Stegostoma tigrinum: one gene and its partners. The protein of the gene in region 1 interacts with the protein of each later gene in a biochemical or structural test. Links are inferred from orthologs where the notes say so. Each region holds a gene or a part of one and is shown in the gene's direction. Other genes may lie near its edges.

Evidence for each region.
Region 2: of the proteins of cul2 (region 1) and dcun1d5, one has a biochemical effect on the other in vitro, tested with the Homo sapiens proteins (2 studies listed by BioGRID, with this or other methods). The link is inferred for Stegostoma tigrinum from reciprocal best matches to the Homo sapiens genes CUL2 and DCUN1D5.
Region 3: of the proteins of cul2 (region 1) and dcun1d3, one has a biochemical effect on the other in vitro, tested with the Homo sapiens proteins (2 studies listed by BioGRID, with this or other methods). The link is inferred for Stegostoma tigrinum from reciprocal best matches to the Homo sapiens genes CUL2 and DCUN1D3.
Region 4: of the proteins of cul2 (region 1) and dcun1d4, one has a biochemical effect on the other in vitro, tested with the Homo sapiens proteins (2 studies listed by BioGRID, with this or other methods). The link is inferred for Stegostoma tigrinum from reciprocal best matches to the Homo sapiens genes CUL2 and DCUN1D4.

The regions. Positions count from the first base shown.
Region 1 is NC_081355.1:130,397,820-130,405,666, reverse strand, and holds the start of cul2 (cullin-2), read left to right. Parts: upstream 1-4,838; 5' UTR 4,839-5,040; intron 5,041-7,847.
Region 2 is NC_081359.1:67,007,165-67,014,057, reverse strand, and holds the start of dcun1d5 (DCN1-like protein 5), read left to right. Parts: upstream 1-3,877; 5' UTR 3,878-3,991; intron 3,992-4,284; exon of another isoform or gene 4,285-4,507; intron 4,508-5,131; 5' UTR 5,132-5,190; intron 5,191-6,893. UniProt on the Homo sapiens protein: Contributes to the neddylation of all cullins by transferring NEDD8 from N-terminally acetylated NEDD8-conjugating E2s enzyme to different cullin C-terminal domain-RBX complexes which is necessary for the activation of cullin-RING E3 ubiquitin ligases (CRLs).
Region 3 is NC_081376.1:49,316,789-49,324,610, forward strand, and holds the start of dcun1d3 (DCN1-like protein 3), read left to right. Parts: upstream 1-4,815; 5' UTR 4,816-5,228; intron 5,229-7,822. Other genes in the region: lyrm1 (LYR motif containing protein 1), read right to left, coding at 4,030-4,047. UniProt on the Homo sapiens protein: Contributes to the neddylation of all cullins by transferring NEDD8 from N-terminally acetylated NEDD8-conjugating E2s enzyme to different cullin C-terminal domain-RBX complexes and may play a role in the cell cycle progression by regulating the SCF ubiquitin E3 ligase complex, after UV damage.
Region 4 is NC_081354.1:106,281,296-106,288,285, forward strand, and holds the start of dcun1d4 (DCN1-like protein 4), read left to right. Parts: upstream 1-3,975; 5' UTR 3,976-4,085; coding exon 4,086-4,104; intron 4,105-6,990. UniProt on the Homo sapiens protein: Contributes to the neddylation of all cullins by transferring NEDD8 from N-terminally acetylated NEDD8-conjugating E2s enzyme to different cullin C-terminal domain-RBX complexes which are necessary for the activation of cullin-RING E3 ubiquitin ligases (CRLs).

The DNA.
Region 1 (7,847 bases):
TGATCCGGATTGAGTGTATGAGTGAGTGTGATCCGGATTGAGCATGTGAGTGAGTGAGTGTGATCTGGATTGGGCGTGTGAGTGAGTGAGTGAGTGTGATCCGGATTGAGTGAGTGAGTTTGATTGGGATTGAGTGTGTGAGTCAGTGTGATCCGGATTGAGTGAGTGAGTGTGATCCAGATCGAGTGTTTGAGTGAGTGAGATCTGGATTGAGTGTGAGAGTGAGTGAGTGAGTGTGATCCGGATTGAGTGAGTGAGTTTGATTGGGGTTGAGTGTGTGAGTGAGTGTGATCCGGATTGAGTGAGTGAGTGAGATCCGGATTGAGTGTTTGAGTGAGTGAGTGAGTGTGATCCGGATTGAGTGAGTGCGATCCGGATTGAGTGAGTGAGTGAGTGTGATCCAGATTGAGTGAGTGAGTTTGATTGGGATTGAGTGTGTGAGTGAGTGTGATCCGGATTGAGTGTGTGAGTGAGTGTGATCCGGATTGAGTGAGTGAGTTTGATTGGGATTGAGTGTGTGAGTGAGTGAGTGTGATCCGGATTGAGTGTGTGAGTGAGTGTGATCCGGATTGAGTGTGAGTGTGATCCGGATTGAGTGAGTGAGTGTGATCCGGATTGAGTATTTGAGTGAGTGAGTGCGATCTGGATTGAGTGTGTGAGTGAGTGCGATCCGGATTGAGTGTGTGAGTGAGTGTGATCAGGATTGAGGGTGTGAATGAGTGAGTGAGTGTGATCCGGACTGAGTGAGTGTGTGGGTGGGTGAGTGAGTGAGTGAGTGAGTGAGAGAGAGAGATCGGGATTGAGTGTGTGAATGAGTGCGTGAGTGTGATCCGGATTGAGTGTGTGAGTGTGAGCTGGATTGAGCATGTGAGTGAGTGAGTGTGATCCGGATTGAGTGAGTGAGGTTGATTTGGATTGAGTGTGTGAGTGAGTGTGATCCAAATTGAGTGTTTGAGTGAGTGTGATCCGGATTGAGCGTGTGAGTGAGTGTGATCCTGATTGAGTGAGTGAGTTTGATTGGGATTGAGTGTGTGTGAGTGAGTGAGTGTGATCCAGATTGAACGTGTGAGTGAGTGAGTGTGATCTGGATTGAGCGTGTGAGTGAGTGTGATTCGGATTGAGTGAGTGAGTTTCATTGGGATTGAGTGTGTGAGTGAGTGAGTGAGTGTGATCTGGATTGAGTGTGTGAGTGAGTGTGATCCAGATTGAGTGAGTGAGTCAGTGTGATCTGGATTGAGCGTGTGAGTGAGTGAGTGTGATCGGGATTGAGTGTGTGAGTGAGTCTGATCTGGATTGAGTGTGTGAGTGAGTGAGTGAGTGTGATCCGGATTGAGTGAGTGAGTTTGATTGAGATTGAGTGTGTGAGTGAGTGAGTGAGTGTGATCCGGATTGGGTGTGTGAGTGAGTGTGATCCGGATTGAGTGTGTGAGTGAGTGAGTGAGTGTGATCCGGATTGAGTGAGTGAGTTTGATTGAGATTGAGTGTGTGAGTGAGTGAGTGAGTGAGTGTGATCCGGATTGGGTGTGTGAGTGAGTGTGATCCGGATTGAGCGTGTGAGTGAGTGAGTGAGTGTGATCCGGATTCAGTGTGTGTGAGTGAGTGAGTGTGATCTGGATTGAGTGTGTGAATGAGTGTGATCCAGATTGAGTGAGTGAGTGAGTGAGAACCAGATTGAGTGTGAGTGTGATCCGGATTGAGTGAGTGAGTTAGTGTGATCCGGATTGAGTGTGTGAGTGAGTGTGATCCAGATTGAGCATGTCGTGATCTGGATTGGGCGTGTGAGTGAGTGAGTTGGTGAGTGAGTTTGATTGAGATTGAGTCTGTGAGTGAGTGAGTGAGTGTGATCCGGATTGGGTGTGTGAGTGAGTGTGATCCGGATTGAGTGTGTGAGTGAGTGAGTTGGTGAGTGAGTTTGATTGAGATTGAGTGTGTGAGTGAGTGAGTGTGATCCGGATTGAGTGTGTGAGTGAGTGTGATCCGGATTGAGTGAGTGAGTTTGATTGGGATTGAGTGTGTGAGTGAGTGAGTGAGTGTGATCTGGATTGTGCGTGTGAGTGAGTGAGTGTGATCCGGATTGAGTGTGTGAGTGAGTGTGATCCGGATTGAGTGAGTGAGTTTGATTGGGATTGAGTGTGTGAGTGAGTGAGTGAGTGTGATCTGGATTGAGTGTGTGAGTGAGTGTGATCTGGATTGAGTGAGTGAGTTTGATTGGGATTGAGTGTGTGAGTGAGTGAGTGAGATCTGGATTGAGTGTGTGAGTGAGTGTGATCCGGATTGAGTGAGTAAGTGAGTGTGATCCGGATTGAGTGTTTGAGTGAGTGAGTGAGTGTGATCCAGATTGAGTGACTGAGTGAGTGCGATCCGGATTGAGTGAGTGAGTGAGTGTGATCCGGATTGAGTGAGTGAGTTTGATTGAGATTGAGTGTGTGAGTGAGTGTGATCCGGATTGAGTGTTTGAGTGAGTGTGATCCAAATTGAGTGAGTGCGATCCGGATTGAGTGTGTGAGTGAGTGTGATCGGGATTGAGGGTGTGAATGAGTGAGTGAATGTGATCCGGATCCAGATTGAGTGTGCGTGATCCGGATTGAGTTTGATTGAGATTGAGTCTGTGAGTGAGTGAGTGAGTGTGATCCGGATTGGGTGTGTGAGTGAGTGTGATCCGGATTGAGTGTGTGAGTGAGTGAGTTGGTGAGTGAGTTTGATTGAGATTGAGTGTGTGAGTGAGTGAGTGTGATCCGGATTGAGTGTGTGAGTGAGTGTGATCCGGATTGAGTGAGTGAGTTTGATTGGGATTGAGTGTGTGAGTGAGTGAGTGAGTGTGATCTGGATTGAGCGTGTGAGTGAGTGAGTGTGATCCGGATTGAGTGTGTGAGTGAGTGTGATCCGGATTGAGTGAGTGAGTTTGATTGGGATTGAGTGTGTGAGTGAGTGAGTGAGTGTGATCTGGATTGAGTGTGTGAGTGAGTGTGATCTGGATTGAGTGAGTGAGTTTGATTGGGATTGAGTGTGTGAGTGAGTGAGTGAGATCTGGATTGAGTGTGTGAGTGAGTGTGATCCGGATTGAGTGAGTAAGTGAGTGTGATCCGGATTGAGTGTTTGAGTGAGTGAGTGAGTGTGATCCAGATTGAGTGACTGAGTGAGTGCGATCCGGATTGAGTGAGTGAGTGAGTGTGATCCGGATTGAGTGAGTGAGTTTGATTGAGATTGAGTGTGTGAGTGAGTGTGATCCGGATTGAGTGTTTGAGTGAGTGTGATCCAAATTGAGTGAGTGCGATCCGGATTGAGTGTGTGAGTGAGTGTGATCGGGATTGAGGGTGTGAATGAGTGAGTGAATGTGATCCGGATCCAGATTGAGTGTGCGTGATCCGGATTGAGTGTGTGAGTGAGTGAGTGTGATCCGGATTGAGTGTGTGAGTTTGTGAGAGTGATCCAGATTGCGTGTGTGAGTGAGTGTGATCGGGACTGAGTGTGTGAATGAGTGAGTGAGTGTGATCCGGATTGAGTGTGTCAGTGCGTGTGATCCGGATTGAGTGTTTGAGTGAGTGAGTGTAATCCGGATTGAGTGAGTGAGTGAGTGTGATCTGGATTGAGTGTGATTGAGTGAATGTGATCTGGATTGATTGATTGAGTGAGTGTGAGTGTGATCGGGATTGAGTGTGTGAATGAGTGAGTGAGTGTGATCCAGATTGAGTGTTTGAGTGAGTGAGTGTGATCTGGATTGAGTGTGTGAGTTTGATTGGGATTGAGCGTGTGAGTTTGATTGCGATTGAGTGTGTGAGTGAGTGAGTGTGATCCGGATTGAGTGTGAGAATGAGTGAGTGCGTGTGATCTGGATTGAGTGTGTGAATGACTGAGTGAGTGCGATCCGGATTGAGTGAGTGAATGACTGAGTGAGTGCGATCCGGATTGAGTGAGTGAGTGAGAGAGATCCGGATTGAGTGTGTGAATGAGTGAGTGAGTGTGATCCGGATTGAGTGTGTGTGAGATCCGGATTGAGTGAGTGAGTGTGATCCGGATTGAGTGTGTGTGAGTGTGAGCCGGATTGAGTGTGTGAGTGAGTGAGTGAGTGTGAACCGGATTGAGTGTGAGTGTGATCCGGATTGACTGAGTGAGTGTGATCCGGATTGAGTGAGTGAGTGACTGCAATCCGGATTGAGTGAGTGTGATCCGGATTGAGTGTGTGAGTGAGTGAGTGAGTGTGAACCGGATTGAGTGTGAGTATGATCCGGATTGAGTGAGTGAGTGACTGCAATCCGGATTGAGTGAGTGTGATCCGGATTGAGTGAGTGAGTGTGATCCGTGTTGAGTGTGTGAGTGAGTGAGTGTGATCCGGATTGAGTGAGTGTGATCCAGATTGAGTAAATGAGTGCGATCCGGATTGAGTGTGTGAATGAGTGAGTGAGTCTGATCCGGATTGAGTGTGTGAATGAGTGAGTGAGTGTGATCCGGATTGAGTGTGAGTGTGAGCCGGATTGAGTGTGTGTGTGTGTGTGATCCGGATTGAGTGTGTGTGAGTGAGTGTGATCCGGATTGAGTGTTTGTGAGTGAGTGTGAGCCGGATTGAGTGTGTGTGAGTGAGTGTGATCCGGATTGAGTGTTTGTGAGTGAGTGTGAGCCGGATTGAGTGTGTGTGAGTGAGTGTGATCCGGATTGAGTGTTTGTGAGTGAGTGTGAGCCGGATTGAGTGTTTGTGAGTGAGTGTGATCCGGATTGAGTGTGTGTGAGTGAGTGTGATCCGGATTGAGTGTTTGTGAGTGAGTGTGAGCCGGATTGAGTGTGTGTGAGTGAGTGTGATCCGGATTGAGTGTGTGTGAGTGAGTGTGATCCGGATTGAGTGTTTGTGAGTGAGTGTGAGCCGGATTGCCAGGCGGACAGGGGTCGCTCTCTCTCTCTCTCCGTGTGTGTCAGTCCGGGAGCCGCGGTTGCCGCACACACTCACACTGAGACTGAGAGAGACGCCGCTGGGAACAGCCCAGCCCCGGAGCCGAGCGGCCGCCGTGGATTCAGCGAAGACGATCAGTTGGAGGCCGGGCTCGGACGGTGAGGAGCTCGGTGCGGGACACGGTCGGCGTTTTTGTGAACGGGTAGCCGGCTGTCTGCCTGGGCCCCAGGCCGTCCTGGCCCTGCCGGGGAGGGGGAGGATGCGGCCTGTCGGCCCCCGGTGTCAGTTTAACGGTGACTCGGCGCCTTCGGGTTGCTCTCGGGCTGGGCCTGAGCGGAGAGGCCGCGGCGGGGGTGCCGGCTGTTGTAGGAGGTTTCAAAGCCTGTGTCCAGGGCCAGTGTCTCGTTGAAGGGCACGGGAGGCGCCCCGGGGCCGGGCCAGGCCAGGGCTGGGCTGTGGAAAGAAGCTTCAGGGGTCGGGAGCAAACAGCTGAGAATTAAACATCATGTCACTTTACCCGCCCTCCTCTGCCCCAACTCTCACCTGCACACCCTCCCCCCCCCTTCCCCCCCCCCCACGTTCCCCCCCTTCCCCCCCCCCCCACGTTCCCCCCCTTCCCCCCCCCCCCACGTTCCCCCCCTTCCCCCCCCCCACGTTCCCCCCCTTCCCCCCCCCCCACGTTCCCCCCCTTCCCCCCCCCACGTTCCCCCCCCCGTTCCCCCTCATCCCCCCCCCGTTCCCCCTCATCCCCCCCCCGTTCCCCCTCATCCCCCCCCCGTTCCCCCTCATCCCCCCCCGTTCCCCCTCATCCCCCCCCGTTCCCCCTCATCCCCCCCGTTCCCCCTCATCCCCCCCCCGTTCCGCCTCATCCCCCCCCCGTTCCCCCTCATCCCCCCCCCCGTTCCCCCTCATCCCCCCCCGTTCCCCCTCATCCCCCCCCCGTTCCCCCTCATCCCCCCCCCGTTCCCCCTCATCCCCCCCCCGTTCCCCCTCATCCCCCCCCGTTCCCCCTCATCCCCCCCGTTCCCCCTCATCTCCCCCCCGTTCCCCCTCATCCACCCCCCCCGTTCCCCCTCATCCACCCCCCCGTTCCCCCTCATCCACCCCCCCCGTTCCCCCTCCCCGTCCCCCCCCCGTCCCCCCCCCGTCCCCCCCCCGTCCCCCCCCCGTTCCCCCCCCGTGTTCCCCCCCCCGTGTTCCCCCCCCCCCGTGTTCCCCCCCCCCCGTGTTCCCCCCCCCCGTGTTCCCCCCCCCGTTCCCCCCCCCCGTGTTCCCCCCCCCGTGTTCCCCCCCCCCGTGTTCCCCCCCCCCGTGTTCCCCCCCCCCGTGTTCCCCCCCCCCCGTGTTCCCCCCCCCCCCGTGTTCCCCCCCCCCGTGTTCCCCCCCCCCCGTGTTCCCCCCCCCCCGTGTTCCCCCCCCCCCGTGTTCCCCCCCCCCGTGTTCCCCCCCCCGTGTTCCCCCCCCCCGTGTTCCCCCCCCCGTGTTCCCCCCCCCGTGTCCCCCCCCCCGTGTCCCCCCCCCCCGTGTCCCCCCCCCCGTGTTCCCCCCCCCCGTGTTCCCCCCCCCCGTGTTCCCCCCCCCGTGTTCCCCCCCCCCGTGTTCCCCCCCCCCGTGTTCTCCCCCCCCCGTGTTCTCCCCCCCCCCGTGTTCTCCCCCCCCCGTGTTCTCCCCCCCCCGTGTTCTCCCCCCCCCGTGTTCCCCCCCCCCGTGTTCCCCCCCCCCGTGTTCTCCCCCCCCCGTTCCCCCCCCCCCCGTTCCCCCCCCCCCCGTTTTCCCCCCCCCGTTTTCCCCCCCCCCGTTTTCCCCCCCCGTTCCCCCCCCCCGTTTTCCCCGTTCCCCCCCCCCGTTCCCCCCCCCCGTTGTTCCCCCCCCCGTTCCCCCCCCCATTTCCCCCCCCGTTTCTCCCCCCCCCCGTTTCCCCCCCCGTTTCCCCCCCCCGTTTCCCCCCCCCGTTTCTCCCCCCCCCGTTTCCCCCCCCCCCGTTTCCCCCCCCCCCGTTTCCCCCCCCCCCGTTTCCCCCCCCCCGTTTCCCCCCCCGTTTCCCCCCCCGTTTCCCCCCCCCCGTTTCCCCCCCCGTTTCCCCCCCCGTTCCCCCTCATCCCCCCCCCGTTCCCCCTCATCCCCCCCCGTTCCCCCTCATCCCCCCCCGTTCCCCCTCATCTCCCCCCCCGTTCCCCCTCATCTCCCCCCCAGTTCCCCCTCATATCCCCCCCCGTTCCCCCTCATATCCCCCCCCGTTCCCCCTCATATCCCCCCCCGTTCCCCCTCATATCCCCCCCCGTTCCCCCTCATCTCCCCCCCAGTTCCCCCTCATCCCCCCCCGTTCCCCCTCATCCCCTCCCCCCGTTCCCCCTCATCACCTCCCCCCGTTCCGCCTCATCCCCCCCGTTCCCCCTCATCCCCCCCTCATCCCCCCCGTTCCCCGTCATCCCCCCCGTTCCCCGTCATCCCCCCCGTTCCCCGTCATCCCCCCCGTTCCCCCTCATCCCCCCGTTCCCCCTCATCCCCCCCCGTTCCCCCTCATCCCCCCCGTTCCCTCTCATCCCCTCCCCCCGTTCCCCCTCAACCCCCCCGTTCCCCCTCATCCCCTCCCCATCCCCCCTCGTCCCCTCCCCATCCCCCCTCGTCCCCTCCCCATCCCCCCTCGTCCCCTCCCCATCCCTCCCCGTTCCCTCCCCATCCCCCCCCGTTCCCTCCCCATCCCCCCCCGTTCCCCCTCATCCCCTCCCCCCTTCCCCCTCATCCCCTCCCCCCGTTCCCCCTCATCCCCCCGTTCCCCCTCATCCCCTCCCCCCGTTCCCCCTCATCCCCTCCCCCCGTTCCCCCTCATCCCCCCGCCGTTCCCCCTCATCCACCCCCGGTCCCCCTCATCCCCCCCCTCATATTCCCCCCTCATCCCCCCCCTCATATTCCCCCCTCATCCCCCCGTTCCCCCTCATCCCCCCCCGTTCCCCCTCATCCCCCC
Region 2 (6,893 bases), on another chromosome or scaffold:
AACAAATCACCTTTTTATTAAATTTTAATAGAGATAGAAAAAAGGACACCATTGTGAATAGATTTCATTCCTTCTTTCACCATCAGGAAAATACCCATGTAGCCAGTTGCATATTAACAAGCAAAGCCTGTTAAAGGCTATACTGAAATCAAAAAAGTGATGGGCGGGTGTTTAGGGACTGAAGGAGGGGGACATAAAGCACTCTATCTCCCACAGTGCCTAAAGTATTCAAGACCAATGATGCACTGTTATGGACCAGGCCAGATCACCTCAAAATATTTTAAGAAAGGATTCTAGAACCTAACTTTTTATTATTTTAAAGATAGATATGAAAAGCCATGTTCCAGTTGCGATATAACTGGTCAAACTATACGTTGTTAAGCCAACTACAATTGATTTAAACACTATTGTTAAAATAAAAACAAAAGAAAGAGTTAATCAAATAAATTAACTGTTGGAAAACTTTGCTAAATAATAGATACAGTAACTGGTACAAGTTAACTGTTCCAATATAGTGACATCCCAAAGACACACAACTTAGCAAAAAGGCAAATGCAGGCACGGATTCTCACATAAAATTCTCCACTCCCAGAGTTAAAATCATCAAGAGAAAATACAGAGATAGCAGCAGCCAGGAAACATTCACTGAAGTTCCCAACTCTATTGAGACCCCAAGAGCTTCCGATATTATTGAGAAAAAACCATAAATCTGGATCTGAGGGAACTGGCCATAGCCAGTCAGCCTGTCAAAAAAAAACACAACACCTCATAAATTGCTTACAGAAGTCATCTTCAGTAGCCAGCCTGCACCTCTACTTTACAATCTCTCATCAAAAAGAGAAAAGAACTTTTAAACTGACAGCATTGTCACATAGACATCCAATTTTCTGTTTTTCTAAATTTAACCTATTTTTCTAAATCAACCTGTTCCGAGATGTTACGACACAGATCTGGAGCAGGTGGGACTTGAACCCAGGCCTCATGGTTCAGGACTAAGGACTCTACCTCTTTTAGCACATTGTACCATATAATCACCACCTGTTCTTTGCTAAAGCAAAATCAATTTAATTTCCTATGCCAATCACTACAATATTGGCTCATTTTTCTCTTAAGATTCTTTTCTCCATTGACTTCCTTTATCAGAACAGTTCATGCTCAAACAATTCTGCATTTAAGTTTTTATTTTAACTCATTTCTCCTCAGTTTGAGAATTTTAAATCAATAGCCACTTGTCATTGGAGTTGTCAGGGGAAAAATATATTCCCTATTCAACTTAGCAAAACATAATGATTTAAATAATTCCTATTAAATCTTCCCATAAGCCTCTTTGTTCCTCTAGTCTGGAAATATTGTCATTATCTCACCTTTCTCACCCCCAGCATCACAGCAGTAAATTTAGAATATACACATATTCTACAATGATGAACTTAGATTATATAATTTCATTTGCATGTTTATGATAATTAGAATTCGACTAGCTTATTCTATATAACTTTATCTACCTCCAATTACATTCTCGGGTCCTTATACATCTAATCAGGTTGGACTCTATAGCCCTTTACAAGTTATCAGCTAGAATAAGTATTTATGCCTAACAAGAGTCATAGTGTCAGAGATGAAGAGCATGGAAACAGAGCCTTCAGTCCAACTCATCCACGCCAACTAGATATCCTAAATTAATCTATTCCTATTTGCCAGAATTTGGGCCATATCTGTCTAAACCCTTCCTGTTCATAAACCCATCCAGATGCCTTTTAAATGGTGTAACCGTAAATGTTGTAACCGTACCAGCCTCTACTACTTCCTTTGGCAGCTCATTCCAAACATACACCTCCCTCTCCATGTAGAAGTTGTCCCTTCAGTCCCTTTTCAATTATTCCCCTTTCACCTTAAAACTATGCCCTCTCATTTTGGACTCCCCTACCCTGGAGAAAAGGCCTTGTCTATTCACCCTATCCATGCTCCTCATGGTTTTATAAACTACGATAAAGGTTACCCTTCAGCCTCTAACCCTCCGAGGAAAATAGCCTCAGCCCAAATCCTCCAACCCTGGCAACATCCTTATAAATGTTTTCTGAACCCCTTCAAATTTCATAACATCCCTCCTGTAGCAATGAGACCAGACTTGAACACAGTTTTTTCAAAAGTAGCGTAACCAATGTCCTGCACAGCTGCAATATGCCATCCCAACTCCTACATTCAATGCACTGATCAATAAAAGTAAACATACCAAACACCCTAAATAAAAACCAAAAGAACTGTGGATGTTCTAAGTTAGGAACAAAATCAAAAGGTGCTGGAAAAGCTGAGCAAGTCTGGCAGCATCTGCATAGGAAAAAATCAGAGCTAACATTTCAGGTCCAGTCACTGGACCCGAAATGGAAGGTCACCAGACCCGAAACGTTAACTCTGATTTTTTTTTCTTCTGATGCTGCCAGACCTGCTCAGCTTTTCCTGCACCTTTGGTTTTTATACCGAACATCCACTTCACTATTCTGTCTAACTTCAACTCCACTTTCAAGGAACTATGAACCTGCACTCCAAGATCTCTTTTTCAGCAATGCTCTCCAGGACCTTACCACACGCTTAAGTCTCCTCAAACTTGTCCATTTTCATCCCTCATAAGAATGAGATGCTTCTGATACTTCAGACAAGTATTTATAATGACAGCAAGGTGGGAAGTGGGGGCACGAGATTTATAAAGAGATGGCAAAAAAATGCCTTCTGCTCAATCTCACCTTTGTTCTCGAAACTGTTGGTGGCTGTGAACTGTCACTTTTCTTATTCACTTTCTACTGAATAGCTATTTGCTTAAATTACGCCGAAGAGCCATCCAGCATCATATAGAAATCCCAGCAATCGGCCACAGGGCAAGTTTTCTCCCTGACGATTTCTATAGAAATGGAATGTGTGTCTGGGAGAAAGTCACATTAGTGATCAGTCAATTTCAACGATGTCCGGCCCTGGCCATCAGCTCCCAGAAACAACGGCCTTCGGTCACCAGGAACACTGCCGCGTTATCATGACTGTAGCTCACCGAATGTAGTGGACCTCCTCCCCTCTCCGGCCTGGTCTTGCCCGCTGGTCCGAGCCGGGCCGGGCCACCCACAGTCAGCACCTCCCGCGTTGTTGGCAACGCCGAGCGTCCCCGGTAACCCGACACGGCAACAGCCAGCCTTCCGGAAATGACGTACGCTGGAGGGGCGGCGAGTCGTCGCAACAAAAACCGCACAGGGTCTTCAAGAGCCCTCCTCCTGCCGGGAGAGGAGAAGCTGCAGTCGACTGCGGGGCGGTGCCTGCCCCTTTAAAGGAGGACTCAAGCCGTGAGAGTGACAGCCGCGTTCTCCACCCCCCCCCCCACACGTCCCTAAAAGCCCGGCAGGCCAGTCCACGCGAGTACACAAAAAGAACATCAATGGAAGGAGGGGGTTCAAAAATCATCACATTGTGTCGGCGACTAATCTCACAAATGTGCATTGCTTATTATAGAGACAATATTTAAGGCAAGGAGTGTTTGCGCGTTAAAAAGGAAATGCGGGGATTTGAACTTTAATGGAACAGTCTCAGCTGCAGGATCTCCCTCCGTCGGGTGGACGATCTGACCGCTCCATCTCTGCGAGCAATTTGGAGGGGGGATCTTTTAATACGGTGATTTATTGCTGTGTAGCAAAACAACTTTGGCTAAGAATTATTCCGTCACGTAAATTATTTCAAGGTGCACTGTACTTTATAAGTTTCACAAAGTCCGATCTTTTGCACTTTTGTCTCTGACATGGCTGATTCACTTTCCCTTCCCCCCACCCACGGCCAATCCAGCCACTACCCCAGCCATTCCCAGGACGCGGTATCTTGCTGACCCTTGACCCCGGTCGTCATTTAGCCCCGGAAGTACTCGCCGTGCCGGTCCCCTGAGCCGGAGAAGCTGAGGCGGCGGCAGTGGAGGAGAGCAGCCGGACGGAGTTGCTCGTACACCGCAGCCCTACAGCGGGAGGTGGGACTGTGCTGGGAATCCGTGTTCCCGTCTCATAAATCACGGCCTGGGGAAGACGGCGAGCGAACCCGGCTCTGCTCACTGCCTCCGAGCCGCCCCGTTGACGCGAGTGCCTGGGGGTAGAGCCAGGGATCCGGCTCCCTGCAGCATGCGCGGTCCTGGTGCTCTGTGAACCCCGGATCGCACGGGGCAGGGTTTGAGTGAAACCTCCCTCCGGGAGCTGATTCCTGGGGGAGGAGGTGGAGCAGTTGCCGGTGGTGGAGGCGGTTGGGGGGGGGGGGGGGTGTGGTGTGAGGGCTGTTTCTTTGTCAGGAGCGGTGAGGTACTGAACCAACCCGAAAATACTTGAAACTGGCCCAGATGAGATGCTGGAGGCGGCGGAGTTTTAACCCAACAGGAAATGGAGGGCTAGAAGATCAGCTCCACGACTAAACACACAGATCGAGAGAGCATATACCAACCCCTCCCCCAATCCCCAAGTCTAACGTCCTGGCGGCGACTCCGTGCGAAGTCTTGGTAACTTTGTTTTGCTTTTGATCGGAGTCCAAGTCATGCACTCAGTCGAGGACGACTAACGTTTTCTTTTGAACAGCTTTCACCGCGGTCGCGATGTGGTGAGGCATTTTTGAAGGGACAGGGCCTGGTGCAGTCCCCGCTCTGGCTGCAGCTCCTGCTGGCACCGGAGAGATTTTCAGGGCCGGTGGCTTCTCTTTTACAAACTGCGCAGTGTCTCCTCATCACCCGAATTGCGTAGAGAGTTAACCGCCTCGGTATTTTTTACAGTTTTCGAGGAAACTCATTTCAAACCTAGTTATCTCAGTTTGGTTTTGCAGGGCCAAATATAAATGTAATCTTCGGAAATCAGGTCTGGGAAAAGGTTGAGAAAAAATTGTTAAATCGCCCAGAATATTTTTGTTTACGTGATTAAATCCACATTTTGGGTCTTGCCATCTCTCTTCGTTATTTACGGTCAATTTGCAGTGCAAATAATGTGTCGGGGAAAAAAGAAGCCGTTCTTGAGTGGTATTTTCATATTTTGAATTGTATATCAGGAAAATGCTTCATGAGTTGTTGTAGCTTGTGCCTGAAGAATATCGACAGAAATATTATTTTGACGCTGTCGTCTTTACCGTTTTCTAGTGGGAGCCTAGCTCATTCTGGCAGACTTCCAACAGATCTCTCGGACGTTCAATCGGCTGGTAAGTATTAAGCTACCCACTTTGGTATTTTTGTTCCTCTTGACTGGGCCATGATTGTGTGAGGTTCTGATGTGAAAAAAGATCTCTTGAAATTGATCGAGCAGACCTTTGACATAACACATGATGCAGTTCTGTTCTCTACTAGCCTCCACACTTTTGATTTGTGCATTTCAGGATGTCGAAAATAAGGAATCTGCTGAATGAGTGATAATAGAAATCTTCTAGTCAGACTGTGCTTTAGAAAACAAATAGTAATGACTGTAGAATGTAATCTTAAATCGAATGTTCCGTCTCTAATTTTTCTTCATCCAGGTGTGGAATGAATTTTATGCAATGCCACTAGAAACACAAATTCAGTCTAACTGATATCTGACTTCAAACATGTTAATATGGTTGACAAGCCATGCACTTGTCAATGACTTGACAGCTTTAGCTGTCTCAAAGTTAAATGGGGGATAGGGTTAAGGTTAGCAATTGAGTATAGGGCTTTAGTGACACCACATCTGGAAGGTTGTGTACAGTTTTTCTCTTCATCTGAGGAAGGGTACTCTTGCAATGAAGGGAATGCAAAGATGGTTTACCAGACTGATTCCTGGGACAGTAAAGTTAAGATGCTAATTTATTGTGTGTGACCCTATCAAAAGCTTCCTGACAGTCCGGGCAAACCATATCTTAGCTTCATGCCAGTACCAACTTGTCCCATAAATAAGAAGTATTTGATTATCATTGGGAGATGCTGAGACAATGAACAATTAAATAAAACAATACAAAACAGGAGTAGGAATAGGCCATTCGGCCCTTCAAGCCTGTTCCACCATTCATTTTTCAGCTTGGCCCCTGCATTAATTGTACACATAGGATGAAGAAGCTTATAGAAACGAGATTAGGTTGATCCAAGCAGCCCCTGATTTGAGTCCCACAACTTTGATTTGACTCATTGCTGGTTAATTACTACGATATTTTCCCAATCCAGTCCTGTGGCACAACCTGTGCACCTGAAGCATCCTTGCTTCTTTAAGCCTAATCTATTACAGTGGCTCTTCAGCTTGTCTAGCTCCTTGCTTTCAGCCTTCTCGATAAGGGGCATAAAAAGTTAGAGGACAGAAGCAGATCCCTTGGTCCAACTTGTCCATGCTGAACAGACACCCCAATCTGACGTAGTCCCATTTCCCAGCATTTAGCTCATCTCCTTCTAAACACTTCCTATTCATATACCCATCCAGATGCCTTTTAAATGTTGTAATTGTACGTGTCTCCACCACTTCCTCTAGCAGTTCATTCCATATACTCACCACCCTCTGTGACAACGTTGCCGCTCGGATCGTTTTCACCTTCTCACTTTAAACTCATCCCCTCTAGTTTTTGGACTTTCCCACCTTAGGATAAGGACTGTGGCTAGTTACCCTACCCAAGTCGTTCACGCTTTTATAAACCTCTGAGGTCCCCCCTCAGCCTCTGATGCTCCAGGAAAAATAAAGCCCCAGCCTATTCAACCTCTTCCTATAACTGAAACTCTCCAGTCACTACAACATTCTTTTAAATCCCTTCTGCACCCATTCCAGTTTAACAAATTATTTCCTATAGAAGGCAGGTGTGTCAAATGCCTTCTTGACCACTGTGTCTCGCTGTGACTCCACTTTCAAGGAGTTATGCACACCTGCAGCTTTAGGTCTCTGTTTGGCAACATCCTCCAGGGCACTACC
Region 3 (7,822 bases), on another chromosome or scaffold:
AAATGTAGAGCCTTCAATTGAAACACTAACAGTTAAATGCTATTTTGAGTCACAAAAGTGCTATTTATTTATTGTTATGACAGGTTTGTTTTTTAAATGATGCAGCTAACACAGAAATGGAGAACATTATTAGGAGATAAGAATTGTTAAACTACTTGCTGTTGTAATTTGGCACACAGGTCTAGACAGGAATGGGTTCTAGAATCTACAAAGGAAGGTTAAGAATCAGAAAGGTGGTTTGGGGCAGAATCAGAACTGCAAATAAAACATGGTGGAAATACATGCATTGACATACACCACATGAGAATTTTGACAATTTTAAGTTGAATTTTGCAGTGCAGTGGTAGTGTCCCTATTGCTAGGTCAGAAGATCTGGATTCCAGTTCCCTAATTTCCAAAAGTGAAGACTCTGTGGATGAAGTGTGCAAATGGGATTGGTAAGCAGGCCATTTTTTGCTTTTCTGGAGCCTTTTTGTACTCAGAAAAGGGGAGCCGCTGAGTCAATGGGGTGGTTGTATATACCAGCAATATCACAAATAAAAGGACAGAAACTCTCAGCCAACATTGGAAAAAAAATCATCAATTTCCTGGAATTTCAATGCTTGTGTTTTAATTGGTGTCAAATAAGCGTTTATGGTCAATTAATCTAGGCATGTGTTTGTCTTGCGAACAATGGCTTGGCAGGAAGTGGGGTGTTTCTGTGAATATTTTAAAAAGGGGTGGAAGTCTGGAAGTCATCTGGAATTCCAGGAATTGTCAGTAAACACACGCTACTGGAGCAATTGGAAGCAGCCTAGTTTTAGGAGCAATTACACAGATAACTTGGATAAACTGCAGAATTGGGCTGAAACGTGGCAAATGGATTTTAATACGGATAAATGTGAGGTGATTCACTTTAGGAGGAATAATAAGGTGGCAGAATACCAGGTCAATGGAAAGATTCTTGGTAGTGTGGATGTGCAGAGGGATCTTGGTGTCCATGTACATAGATCCCTGAAAGTTGCCACCCAGGTTGATAGTGCTGTTAAGGCGGCTTACGGTGATTGAGTTCCGGAGCCATGATGTCATGCTGCAACTGTACAAAATGCTAGTGCGACCTCATTTGGAATACTGCGTGCAGTTCTGGTCACCCCATTACAGGAAGGATGTGGAAGCATCGGAAAAGGTGCAGAGGAGATTCACCAGGATGTTGTCTGGTCTAGAGCGAAGGCCCTATGAAGAAAGGCTGAGGGACTTGGGTCTGTTCTCGTTGGAGAGAAGGAGGCTAAGAGGGGATTTTATAGAGACATACAAGACGATCAGAGGATTAGATAGGGTGGACAGTGAGAGTCTTTTTCGAGGATGATGACTTCAGCTTGTACAAGAGGACTTGGCTACAAATTGAGGGGTGATAGATTTAAGACAGATGTCAGTGGCAGGTTCTTTACTCAGAGTGGTAAGGGTGTGGAATGCCCTGCCTGCCAATGTAGTTAACTCAGCCACATTAGGGGCATTTAAACAGTCCTTGGATAAGCATATGGATAATGATGGGATAGTGTAGGGGGATTAGATCAGTTCACAGGTCGGCACAACATCGAGGGCCGAAGGGCCTGTTCGGCGCTGTATTGTTCTGTGTTCTATAACTCACAACAAGAAGTTGAGGTGGTGGATTAAAGTTTATTTTTAGTCCATTGCACTTGTCAGAAGCTCAAGCAAAATGGGGTTTTGGCCTCCGGTGAACCACCAATTCCAATCAGATTTCCAGAGTCAGCTTGCTGGCTTGATGGCGTCTAATTTCCTCCTGATCGTGGGCTTCAGTTAAGTGCTGGGTGGAGGAAAGAGGACTAGCCTTGTACAGCAAGTGTCTACATTAGTGTTGCAAAACTGGAGATGAATGCTACTGGATTATTTCACCGAATGGTGACATTTAAATTCTGAGTAGTACACTAAGGACTGTGCCCTGAGTATGAAACATGACTATACTGGTCAGGAGAAGCATTTAAGAGTTACCAAAACATGGAAGGTTAAGCTGCATCATGCTAATTATTGGATTTCACACGTAACAAATAATATCCAGCTGCACAATAAAAACTATGATTTTGAAAAATCCATGCTGACTGTATATCAGCAGACACTGCCTGTGCATAAACCCAAAGTCACTGCAACTCTACCGTCCATATACTCAGTCAAATATCTACTAACCAGTATACTCACTGACTTACCTCTCTACCTACCACTAGACAAAATTTGCTTTTTTATCATAGGGTTCAAATCTCTCCTTTATATCATTGTAATTTCCTCCAGCCTGAAAGTTTGCATGCCTCAAAGTTCCTTTGCCCCACTGTTCTCAGCCATGACTTCAATGGTCCATGCTGCAGCTCTGGAATTTCCAAACTTCTCTCTGTCTCCCCTCCTTGAATATGGCCATAAGACCATAAGACACAGGAATGGAAGTAAGGCCATTTGGCCCGTCAAGTCCACTCCGCCATTAAAATCATGGCTGATGGGCATTTCAACTCCACTTCCCTGCACTCTCCCCATAGCCCTTGATTCGTTCTGAGATCAAGAATTTGTTGATTTCTGCCTTGAAGGCATCCAACTTCCCGGCCTCCACTGCACTCCGTGGCAATGAATTCCACATGCCCACCACTCTCTGGCTGAAGAAATGCCGTCTCAGTTCAGTTTTAAATTTACCCCCTCTAATTTTAAGGCTGTGCCCACAGGTCCTAGTTTCCCCGCCTAACAGAAACAACTTCCTAGCGTCCACCCCTTCTAGACCATACATTATCTTGTAAATTTCTATTAGATCTCCCCATAACCTTGTAAACTCTAATGAGTACAATCCCAGGATCCTTAGCCGTTCATCATACGTTAAACCTACCATTCCAGGGATCTAGCCCTTAGTATCTACCTCGATTATTTGACACTTGTCAGTATTTACCTGATTAAACTGCCGTGAAGCCAAGGTTATAGGCAGTACAGGATACAAATGCAAGTCACTGAATTAAGCTATTAGAGAGCAACGTTGAAGGTGCCAGCTCAAATTGTCAAGATTTTTGTCACTCTTGAAAGTCAAGTAATTATACTATCATTTATTTGTGCAGCAACACAAGCAAATAAAACCATTACATTAGCACTTTATCAAATCAGGGGATACTGGAAATCTGTTATATGAAGAATGGTGTGGTCCAGTTGTGTGTAAGTTCGGTACTGGCTATGATTTCACATGAACTTTATCATAGCCTTATAGGCTCTCGGTGAGAATGTTTATTGTGCGTTGAAGTTCCTGTAGGCTACATTCTTATAGCTTGCAATTTCTAACTTTAGATAAAGCAACAGTTCTTTTTAAGAAAAATGGAAACTTGACTGTTATCCACAAGGGCTAGTTTAATTCTTAAATTTTAGCTGTTTGGTACAAATTAAGAAAAAATTGAGTAAAGTTTGGAACTAAAAGTTTAAAAAAATGAGTAAATCAAGGCAAAACAAAGATGTATGACTAAACATTTTGCCTTGCAATCGTCCGAAGAGGGGCTAGATGCTGAATTTCAAATGGAAGAACAATTTATATTACAGGTGACTTCTTATTACACATCAATGAAAAACGCAAGAAAGCAGGGCTGGTATTAACCATCTAATAGAAATATCGATAGCCCAAAGATGTGCAGGTTAGGCAGATTAGCCAAGCTAAATTGCCTATAGTGTTCAGGGATGCACTGATTAGGTCCGTCAGCCATGGAAAATACAGGGATTGGGTATGGGTCTGGGTGGAATGCTCTTCGGAGGATCAGTATGGACTCTCTGGGCCGAATAGCCTGTTTCCACACTGCAGGGATTATATTTGAGAAGTTTCATTCAGCAATCGGGGAGTATCTCCCCACGGCCTCAGTTTAAAAGCCGACAGCTGTGTTTATAAATTCATGACTGATGCAGAAAGGAAAAAAAAAGGCAAAACGCTCGAGTGAACGGCTCGTTTCTTCTCTTCCCCAGCCCTTACCAAACACCCACACAAACTACCCAGCCACAAGGCGAGGGAGAAGGGGACGGCCTCACCTTCTCAAGATGAAGCATCCGGCCGCAGTTCACTCTCCAAATATTCAACCGCCCGTCACACCGACCATTCGTCCATCACGACAGCGCGTTGTCTTTCTGATTTGTGAATTTTTAAATAAGAGAAGATAAAATAAAGACGTGAAGTAGTTAAACTGCTGTCAGGTGACCTCACGTTGGATGGAGCCAGGGCCACCCGCCCTAAATTAAAATAAAACTACTATTTTCTGTTTTGCGTTCGGTCGTTACCGGAGAACAGGGATGGATAAAGAAGCGGAATATACCGAACTTTAGAGAGAGCGCACAGGCGGCGGTGTCAACACCGATTCACGGGAGAGGGGTACCGAGGAGACACCGCCAATCTGACATCCCAACGGAAAACCGCGCGCGCCCCAGCACTGCGCATGCGTACCACTCACCAGGCCACGAGCGGCAAGCACGCGCGTCTTCTTCCCTTTGCCCTCCTCCCCGCTCAACCCAATCCCAAAGCCAGGGCGCGATGCCGCGTCTGACCGCGAACGCGCGCAACTCCGTCCGATTCACGCAAACACGCCATGCGCGCCCGCCAATCCAGGTTCACGCCCGCCCGCGGAGTTGCGCACGCGCATTTCCCTCATCGCCGCCGGGCAGCTGATGGAAATGCGCATGCGCACTTCCACCGGAACGTAGGCTCATATCCACACAGAGCTCCGATCCGTTCCAAAGCCTTCTGCGCACGCGCATCACCTCCTCCTCTTCCCCGCCCCTCCGCGCGGCGGTGTGGCCTCGTGTCATCAGCGTCATGGCGTCACTGTTGTCTGACCGCAAGGTTTGATGAGGTAATGCGCAGACGGAAAGCTGGCTGCCCGGCGCAGTAGGAAGTGATGAGGGGAAGTTTCTGTCTCCTCAAATTATCAGCGGAACGGTGGCCGTTTCTCCGTCCGTGCCTTTCGCGAAAAGCTGAACGTTAGTGTCCATCCGGGGTGACTATGGCTTTGAAAAGGTCGGGTTGCCCGGCCGTGATGATGTCGTGAGAAGGCCTGGCGCCTTTCCTGCCTTTCCTCTCTCCGAGGCCAAGGGAAGCCCGTCGTTGTTTCAGTGCCTTCGCGCAGACCTCTGACTCCTCACCCTGAATTAATACTCAAAAACTCCTCAGCCGTCTGCTTTTTAAACTCGCTCTCCCGGAAAACAGGACGATGGCTTGATCACGTTTCATGTTATTTGTAAGTTTCTGTTTTTCGACATCGACCTGGGTTGTAGCACAAACGGAGTGGGGTAACGGCGGTTGGGCTTTTTGTTTTGGTGAGGCAATTGATTCAAGTCTGAATCAAAGAAATATCTCCCTCACACGTGGCACTTTCTACCTTATCTGAGTCTGTGTGATGGATAACTTTCCTTCTGTTTTGGGTGTTGAAATCTGGGTTGCCTGCTAAAACGAGTGATGGCCTAATTTCCTTTTTAAATCCATGGAATGAAATGTTCCTTTCAATGGAAAAAATAAATGTTGGTGATAAAGTGTATAAATGGTGTGCTTCCAAGCGATGATTCTTCAATGATAACGTAGAGGCAGAATGGCTTCAAGATAGATTGTTGACAGGTTGATCTTCGTAACAGTAATCAATTGCAGGCATCAACAATGGTCCTGCACGCAAGCACTGTGTTCTAAAATGAAGATGCAGTTTGAATGGGGGAGGGGTGGCGATGGAGCATTGCCGAGCAGTTTGTTTTTCACTTGTCTATTGCCCTAGTTCAACCTTTCCTACAGATGAGAATTTCCCTCTCCTGGGATTGCCCTGTCATTGGAATTACAGGCCTTTTGCGAGTACTATGTCACTACTAGAGTTAGCTTTCAGATTAATTCATTACAGAATAGTGACAATCTGCTTTCAGGTTCTCGTGTTATGCACGCATGTGGACATTGCAGAAACCTGTTTACTTCTAAAAGCAAAACATTTTCTATAATCTTTCACAACCTTGGAATACCCCAGAGCATTTTTATAGTCAACATGTTATTTTCAAAGTCATTTTTTGAAATGCAGCAGCCAATTTGCACATAGCAAGGTTCCACAACAAGAATGTGTTAGTGACTAGATAATTAGTTGTAGGAATGTTCTTAGAGGGATAGATACTATTCTGAACACCAGGTTAGATTTCAACTTCTTAGCCATAGAGATTTTACAACATGGAAAGAGGACTGTTGTTTCTACACCAGCCATCAAATATGGATCTATTTTAATCCCATTTTCCAGCATTTAGCCTGTGGCCTAGTATAGAATCGAGTTTCAACTGTTCAGCTATATAGCTTTTTAAATTACTTGAGGCTTCTCTAACGTCCTATTAGACATTCTGTTCTAAATGCCCACAACCCTCTAGGTGAAAAGGAAATCCTCAAACCCACTCTAACCTTCCTGCTCCTAACCTTAAAACTGCCCCCTTGTTATTTACCCCTCAATTAAGGGGAAAAGTGTCTACCCATCTGTGCCCCTCAGAATTTTGTACACTTTGATCAGATCCCTTCCCTCAGCCTTCTCTCCTTTTAAGGAGGACAACTCCAGCCTGTCGGTCTGCGCATTGCTGAGTTGTTCCAGCCCAGGCATATTTAGATTTCTAAAAGGATTCAATAAGATGTCACAAAAAGGGCTGCACAAGGTATAAGCTCTTGATGTGCTGAATTTCTCTGCTTTCTAATTGTTTTTTCAAATCTCCAATTTCTGCAGTACTTCACATTTATTATAAATGCTCTTGAGATTGGACTAGTGTAGTAGAATTAGTGAAAGTTGATATAAAGGGCAAAAAATGGAGTAGCAATAAATAGATTTAAAGAAAACCCGTAAGAACTGTGGTTGCTGGAAATCGGAAACAAAAACAGAAATCACTGGAAAAACTCAGCAGGTCTGGCAGGTCTCTATGGAGAGAAAGCAGAGTCAAAGTTTTGAGTCCAGTGACCCTTCTTCAGAAGTAATTAGCTAGGAAAAGGTTAGCCTGTATGCTGAAGATAGGATTGGGGAGGAGTAAATGATAAGTGGAGATGGAGTGAGGGACCATTAGCTGACACTGAGTTGGTCGCGGTAGCAGGCTAAATGATGACGAGGCTTTGGTGTATGGGGTTTGGGGTAAGGACATGGGAAAAGGTGCTTAATTATTGAACTCTTGATTCCTGAAGGTTAGAGTTAGGTCTCAGGTTGGCAAGCAATAACTAGAAAAGTCCTGAATTTCGGAGATACCATTATTTACCATTAATTGTCAACAGTTTGGTTGAAGGGTCCGAGTGTAACCTCATTGGTTTTGTAGATAAGGAACTAGGTGAGAAAGTAAGCTGGGAAGAGGATGTAATCTGCAAAGACATTTTATATTTTTAACTGAGTTGGAAGGGGTTGCAATGTAATGATAGGAAATAAGGTTATTCACTTCAGTAGGAAGAGTATAAAATCAATAGTTTTCAATTAGAACAATCAATACTTGATATTCAGAGGAATGTGGGTGTGCTTATATAACTAATACAGAAAATTAACATACAGGTAAAGCAAGAAATTAGATTAAATTCCCTACAGTGTAAAACAGGCCCTTCGGCCCAACAAGTCCACACCACCCCTTATACCATCCCACCCAAACGCATCCCCCTATAATCCACACACCCCTGAACACTATGGGCAATTTAGCATTGCCAATCCACCTAGCCTGCACATCTTTGGACTGTGGACGGAAACCGGAGCACCTGGAGGAAGCCCATGCAGACATTGGGAGTACGTGCAAACTCTGCACAGAGAGTCACCCGAGGCTGGAATCGAACCTGGGTCCCTGGTGCTGTGAGGCTGTT
Region 4 (6,990 bases), on another chromosome or scaffold:
CCTTTCATGACTTCCACACTCAATGAGATCATGACAGACCTTACCATTTAAGAAATGTTCTATACTTAGTTTACTTACACTAATGTGGATAACCAAATTTTACCAACATATATCCAGATATTCCATCTGCCATGTTCTTGCCTAATCACCAAGTCTGTCCACATCCTCCCAAAACACTTGATATCATTATCAGTCCAAAGATGCGCAGGCTAGGTGGATTGGCCATGTTAAATTGCCCGTTGTGTACATGGGTGTGTGTGTGTGTTATAGGGGGATGGGTCTGGGTGGGACGCTGCAAAGGGTGGTGTGGAGTTGTTGGGCTGAAGGGCCTGTTTCCACACTGTAGGGAATCTAATTAATCACAGCACAGCTTTGTAGTTATTTTCATCCACCCTGGTTGGATATGATATGACATACCTTCAAGGCAGGTGGGATTTGAACCAGGATCTCTGGCCTGAAGGCAACACAGATCCCTCCACTTAGCTTTGTATCATCTGCAAATATGTCATTCTGGACCCCACATCCGAATTGCCTATATATTGCAAACAGCTGGGGCCCAAATTCTGACCCACTGATATCCTTCTAGAAACAGCCTACCAACACGAGAATAATCTGTTCATTTCTAGGTCTGTTTCCAACCTGTTGGCTCAATCTTCATCTATGCCCACACATAACCTCCTATTCTGAGATAATGGGAACTGCAGATGCTGGAGAATTCCAAGATAATAAAATGTGAGGCTGGATGAACACAGCAGGCCAAGCAGCATCTCAGGAGCACAAAAGCTGACGTTTCGGGCCTAGACCCTTCATCAGAGAGGGGGATGGGGAGAGGGAACTGGAATAAATAGGGAGAGAGGGGGAGGCGGACCGAAGATGGAGAGTAAAGAAGATAGGTGGAGAGAGTATAGGTGGGGAGGTAGGGAGGGGATAGGTCAGTCCAGGGAAGACGGACAGGTCAAGGAGGTGGGATGAGGTTAGTAGGTAGATGGGGGTGCGGCTTGGGGTGGGAGGAAGGGATGGGTGAGAGGAAGAACCGGTTAGGGAGGCAGAGACAGGTTGGACTGGTTTTGGGATGCAGTGGGTGGGGGGAAGAGCTGGGCTGGTGGTGTGGTGCAGTGGGGGGAGGGGACGAATTGGGCTGGTTTAGGGATGCAGTAGGGGAAGGGGAGATTTTGAAACTGGTGAAGTCCACATTGATACCATATGGCTGCAGGGTTCCCAGGCGGAATATGAGTTGCTGTTCCTGCAACCTTCAGGTGGCATCATTGTGGCAGTGCAGGAGGCCCATGAAGGACCGCAACTTTCCCCCCACAGTGATCGAGAACGCCCTTGACCGCGTCTCCCGTATTTCCCGCAACACATCCCTCACACCCCGCCCCCGCCACAACCGCCCTAAGAGGATCCCCCTCGTTCTCACACACCACCCTACCAACCTCCGGATACAACGCATCATCCTCCGACACTTCCGCCATCTACAATCCGACCCCACCACCCAAGACATTTTTCCATCCCCACCCCTGTCTGCTTTCCGGAGAGACCACTCTCTCCGTGACTCCCTTGTTCGTTCCACACTGCCCTCCAACCCCACCACACCCGGCACCTTCCCCTGCAACCGCAGGAAATGCGACACTTGCCCCCTCACCCCTATCCCAGGCCCCAAGATGACATTCCACATTAAGCAGAGGTTCACCTGCACATCTGCCAATGTGGTATACTGCATCCACTGTACCCAGTGCGGCTTCCTCTACATTAGGGAAACCAAGCGGAGGCTTGGGGACCGCTTTGCAGAACACCTCCGCTCAGTTCGCAACAAACAACTGCACCTCCCAGTCGCAAACCATTTCCACTCCCGCTCCCATTCTCTAGATGACATGTCCATCATGGGCCTCCTGCAGTGCCACAATGATGCCACCCGAAGGTTGCAGGAACAGCAACTCATATTCCGCCTGGGAACCCTGCAGCCATATGGTATCAATGTGGACTTCACCAGTTTCAAAATCTTCCCTTCCCCTACTGCATCCCTAAACCAGCCCAGTTCGTCCCCTCCCCCCACTGCACCACACAACCAGCCCAGCTCTTCCCCCCCACCCACTGCATCCCAAAACCAATCCAACCTGTCTCTGCCTCCCTAACCGTTCTTCCTCTCACCCATCTCTTCCTCCCACCCCAAGCCGCACCCCCGTCCACCTAATAACCTCATCCCACCTCCTTGACCTGTCTGTCTTCCCTGGACTGACCTATCCCCTCCCTACCTCCCCACCTATACTCTCTCCACCTATCTTTACTCTCCATCTTCGGTCCGCCTCCCTCTCTCCCTATTTATTACAGTTCCCTCTCTCCATCCCCCTCTCTGATGAAGGATCTAGGCCCGAAACGTCAGCTTTTGTGCTCCTGAGATGCTGCTTGGCCTGCTGTGTTCATCCAGCCTCACATTTTATTAACCTCCCATTCTCGTGTGTTTTGAATTTGCTGAAGGTCCTGCAGGGGACGCTATAAAACCTGAAAATTTCAGTTTGTTACATCCGTTCACTTTCCATAATCAATTTTGTGACTAACAGCCCCCTGACCTCCAAGTTGCAAATTCGTAATGATTGTGCCCTACATTTTTGTCCATTCATCTATTGATCATATTCTTTATAATTCACTTCCCCTACTACTCGTGAGAGCTATTAAGTCTGCAGTCGCCTGTTTTCTTTCTCACTTCCTTATTTATTAGTGGTACGACGTACGTAGCTTCCAACCTTTAGGAATCACTCCTTAGAATTTAGAAGCTGATGACCAACGACGCACTGTCCCGATAGCAAACACAACAAATGCTGGAGATTACAGCGGCTCAGACAGCATCGATGCAGAAAGAGTCGGCTGAACATTTCGAGTTTAGATGACTCTTCATCACAGCTGAAGCTCGAAACGTTAGCTTTCTTTCCTTTCGTGGATGTCGTCTGACCCGCTGTGATCTCCAGCTTTTTTTTGTAGCATCTGCAGTAATTTGTTTCCTTCATTATCTTGATAGCCACGTCTTTAAACTGTGTGGGATTTAAACTATCAGGTCCTTGAAGGCCAACTTTCAGCTCCACTTTTTCTCCAGTAGAACTTTTTTTATTAATACTAATTTGCTGGATTCGATCTCTGGTTCGGGGAAATAGCTTGCACCATCCTCGGTGAAAACAAACACAAACTCATCTACCATTTCTCTTATTCCTCATTATGACTTCTAGTGACTGCCAGTAAAGGACCTACATTCGCCTTAGCCAAACCTAGCCATGATAAAGTGTGACTGACAGACGTATAATTTCTTCGTCTTTCTTCCTTACAGTGGGCACTGGAAGCGAGAAATCTTCAACGGGAGTGAGGAGTTTGCAAATCGATTGAACTCGTTCAAGCGTGGGGAGAATTAAGACAAGTCATGTAAGAAAGCGGGGTGATTACTGGGGAACGGAATTTGGCAGATTATCGCTGAGTCAGTGTAAATCTAAATGCAGATTTATTGAATAAAAATGTAACCATAGCCACGACCTCAACGGCACAATCCAGATCAAGTGGTTCACCTCTCCCCTCCCCCAATAACCGGTACAACAGGCCACGGACCGGTACTCTGATTGGTCCAGGATCCCTCTGTTGCTAGGATGGGGACTCATTCCTATTATTTACTGCAACGACGAGGTGGCGACTTCATTAGAAAACAGTATAAGTTAGCCGGGGGAGGGGGGGGCGGGGGATAAATAACGCCAGGACACCATTCAACATCCCTCATCATAGGAGTATGTGTTTCAATTTGCTTTAAACGTGTACATCGCAACGAATGGGTGATAAATAACCTGTACCGACAGCTACCGTTCTCCCCGAGGCTGAAGGCGGAGCCAAGCCGTGCCGAACCACACCACCGGTCCCGCCCATCCGTGGCGGCCCCTGTGATTGACATTCCAGTAGCCAGAGGAACGCTGCCCTGAGAGTTACGCGAGGTGGGCGGGCTGGGGAGCCAATCGCAGAGAGGCGCAGGCGGGACTTCCGTTGTTACTGGCTGGCTTCACCGGCACGAGCGGGAGCGGTTGTCCGGCGCGTTCTGAACCATCCTCGCCCTGAAAATGCACGCGGATGCAGTCAGTAAGTATCGAGGATCCGCCGCTCTAACTACTGCTGTCCCCCATGGTGCATACATATTTCACATGGCTATGCCATTTCCTTTGTCAGCACTACAGGGTTCATTTGTTTTTGTCTGCGTTTAGTGCAAGGTATTCTGTTTCACCTGCGTCTCTTTAATGGAGATGATTCGTGTGTCACAGAAGAGAGGTGACGCAGTTTTCTTTCCAGAGTGTCTCATATTAATGCCCTGACTAACCTGATCGCATTCTTTTTCTCCTTGTCCGATTCATGGTCGAAAGTGGATATCAGCAGAATGATATGGTGGCGGCATTGGGCAAGGAAGGGGATTATTATTCTCTTTCTCTACTCCCCCTCCCCCCGATGCAGAAGCTTTGTCAACTCTGCTGAGAAGCTGTCTGGAGTTGTATTTATTTCAGGATGTTGGGGAGGGTACGAGAATGTGGGACGCGTATATCAACGCGCAGGCGCAACGTTCGTGACGTTTTCTGGGAATTGTAGTTCTATGACGACTAATTATGTGATGACACACCTAGTGGCGTCACAAGGGAACTGCAATCCCCAGACTGCTTTATGCGGTGTAACCTAGGGAAGCGTTTACCTGGGGGCTCAGCTCCTTGGCCACTCTGGCAGATTGGTCTCAATGCAGTACTCTCTATCTAGGTTTTTTTTCCATCTTTGGCCATCCGCAGTGTCCGTTATTTAAATAAATATATTTTTCTTTGCGTATTAGTTCTACTTTAAATGGGGTTTACCTTTTTGTTGAACGGGCATTATTTTAACTACATTGTCCACCTTGGCAAATTCACCCAGTTCTGTGGCTATGCAAGATATGGTGATGATTCTGCATTCTGGTCAGTTGATTTCTACTGTAGTTAACAAAATTCCTTCAGTTTTGTTTAATTGTAGAAACCTTAGCATGAATATCATGTCTGCTTGGAGTTGATCTAGATGGCTTAACCAGCTTTCACAACTACGAGCTAATGCTGTGTTTTGCTACTTGTTAGAATTGCGTGTTTACCTGTACTAAGAATAAAAGGCAACTTTTTTTTGTTAAAACTGGAAGGTATGACACTTATGAATAAAGTCATGGCATGATTTTGATTTATTGTCATGTCTGTTTACTTACAAAATATGGTAAAAATTGTGGTATAATGTTGCCACTCTCCAGTGTCATCTTAAAATACAAATAAACCAAAATTAAAGAATTTTAAGGCAGAAAAATGAAGAAATAAAGAATAAAGAAATTGCTGACTTCTCATCTGTGGCCCAGTGTCATAGAACCCCCTGAATGAAGATGTATTAACTTCTGTCCTGATTTCCAGTTGTGGAAGTTTATTGTTCATTGTACTAGACAAGTATTGTCTTTTGCGTGCATTCAGTTTCAATCCACATTTTGAAAGTTGAAATTTGGTCTGTTAAGTTGAGGATATAAACCAAAGTTGCATTTTACATTAATTACAACTATGATAGACCAGTTTTGTAGTACAGTAGTTTTTATTTGAACTTGTGGAACAGGATGAAGAGAACCCAATACTTAACAGTATTCAATATAAGTTGTATTTGCACACTTTTGTTACATCCAAATGTAAGTGGATACTTTTATGTTTCGGTATAAGCCAAGTTTTTAGAACTAGAGTATAAAATGTCCGAAGCAATCACAGCTGGATTCTCAGGCTGTTGGAGTTCAAGAAGTTCAGACATCTAAGTGTGAAAATCTAACACATGAGATAGAGGGGGATGTTCTGAGATATGCAGTACTGAATGTGAAAGAACTGGGAAGTACAGGATAGTTAGAGCTGAGAGTTTAGAACCAAGTGTAGATAAGTGACCTCACAGCAAGCGGTACTAAGGTACTGTTCATCAATTATTTGCATTTTAAGACAATTTGTACTTTTAATCTGCACATAGTGATATAATAATGGAAATTTAAATGTCAATATGCAGAACTTAAAATGATTTGTAAATAAAGAGGAAAATTCACTAGTTTTGATGTAAATTAATGCTTAATAATTTGGCTTTAAATATCTCACCTATGTAATAAACATGACATATTTGACTTGCTCTTTAAAAGTGACCAGTGTTTAAAAGTTTCCTTTTGAGGACAATGGTAATGTAACAATATTGTTCATCTTTTTTTAAAGTTCTGGGTAAAATACTCCGAATTAAATCATTTGCAGTTCATTTGAGATAATGATGAAATCAGTGAATTATAATGCAATAAACTGATTAAGGGGCCTTAATGATCTCCTGAACTTGAATAAAGCCTAACTGAAGACTGAAAGCAGCCAAATTCACTGACAGGTATTTGTTCTTGCACAGCAGTGAAATTTGTGATTTATCATCCTCATTGTTTGTCACTGCTTCCTTAGCAAGGTAACCACTTTTAAATAATGAAACTGTAGAAAAGTGCACCACTCTTTGTGGATTATTTGAACCTCTCTACAATCTGTATTTACTACACTAATATATTAAATGGTCCTTTAGTTTGCAGAATTATTTTTGAAGATTTTGTACCTCCTCTGTCAAAGCTGTTCCAATGATCATATCAATACTGAGTATAACACAATAACATAAGGTTTTTGAAATTTGCTAAATTGTTTCCTAGTTAATATTTGTTTTTATATCTTTCTAGAAAAAAATCATTGGTGTTATATTATGGAAGCTGGTATTAATTATAATTGTGCATTAATTTGCAAATCTGACAAAATCCAGAGATTATTTTTGTTTCTGTAGATTAATTGTTAGGATTGATTGCTGTAACAACTTTATTGTTGTATCATGCGATTACCGAGATGGTGAAACATAAACTAGAAGGGTCTTGGCCCTTTTTACATGTACCAGTTCCTATGACTGTTCCACTGAAACTCTGATTTTAGAGCACATTTT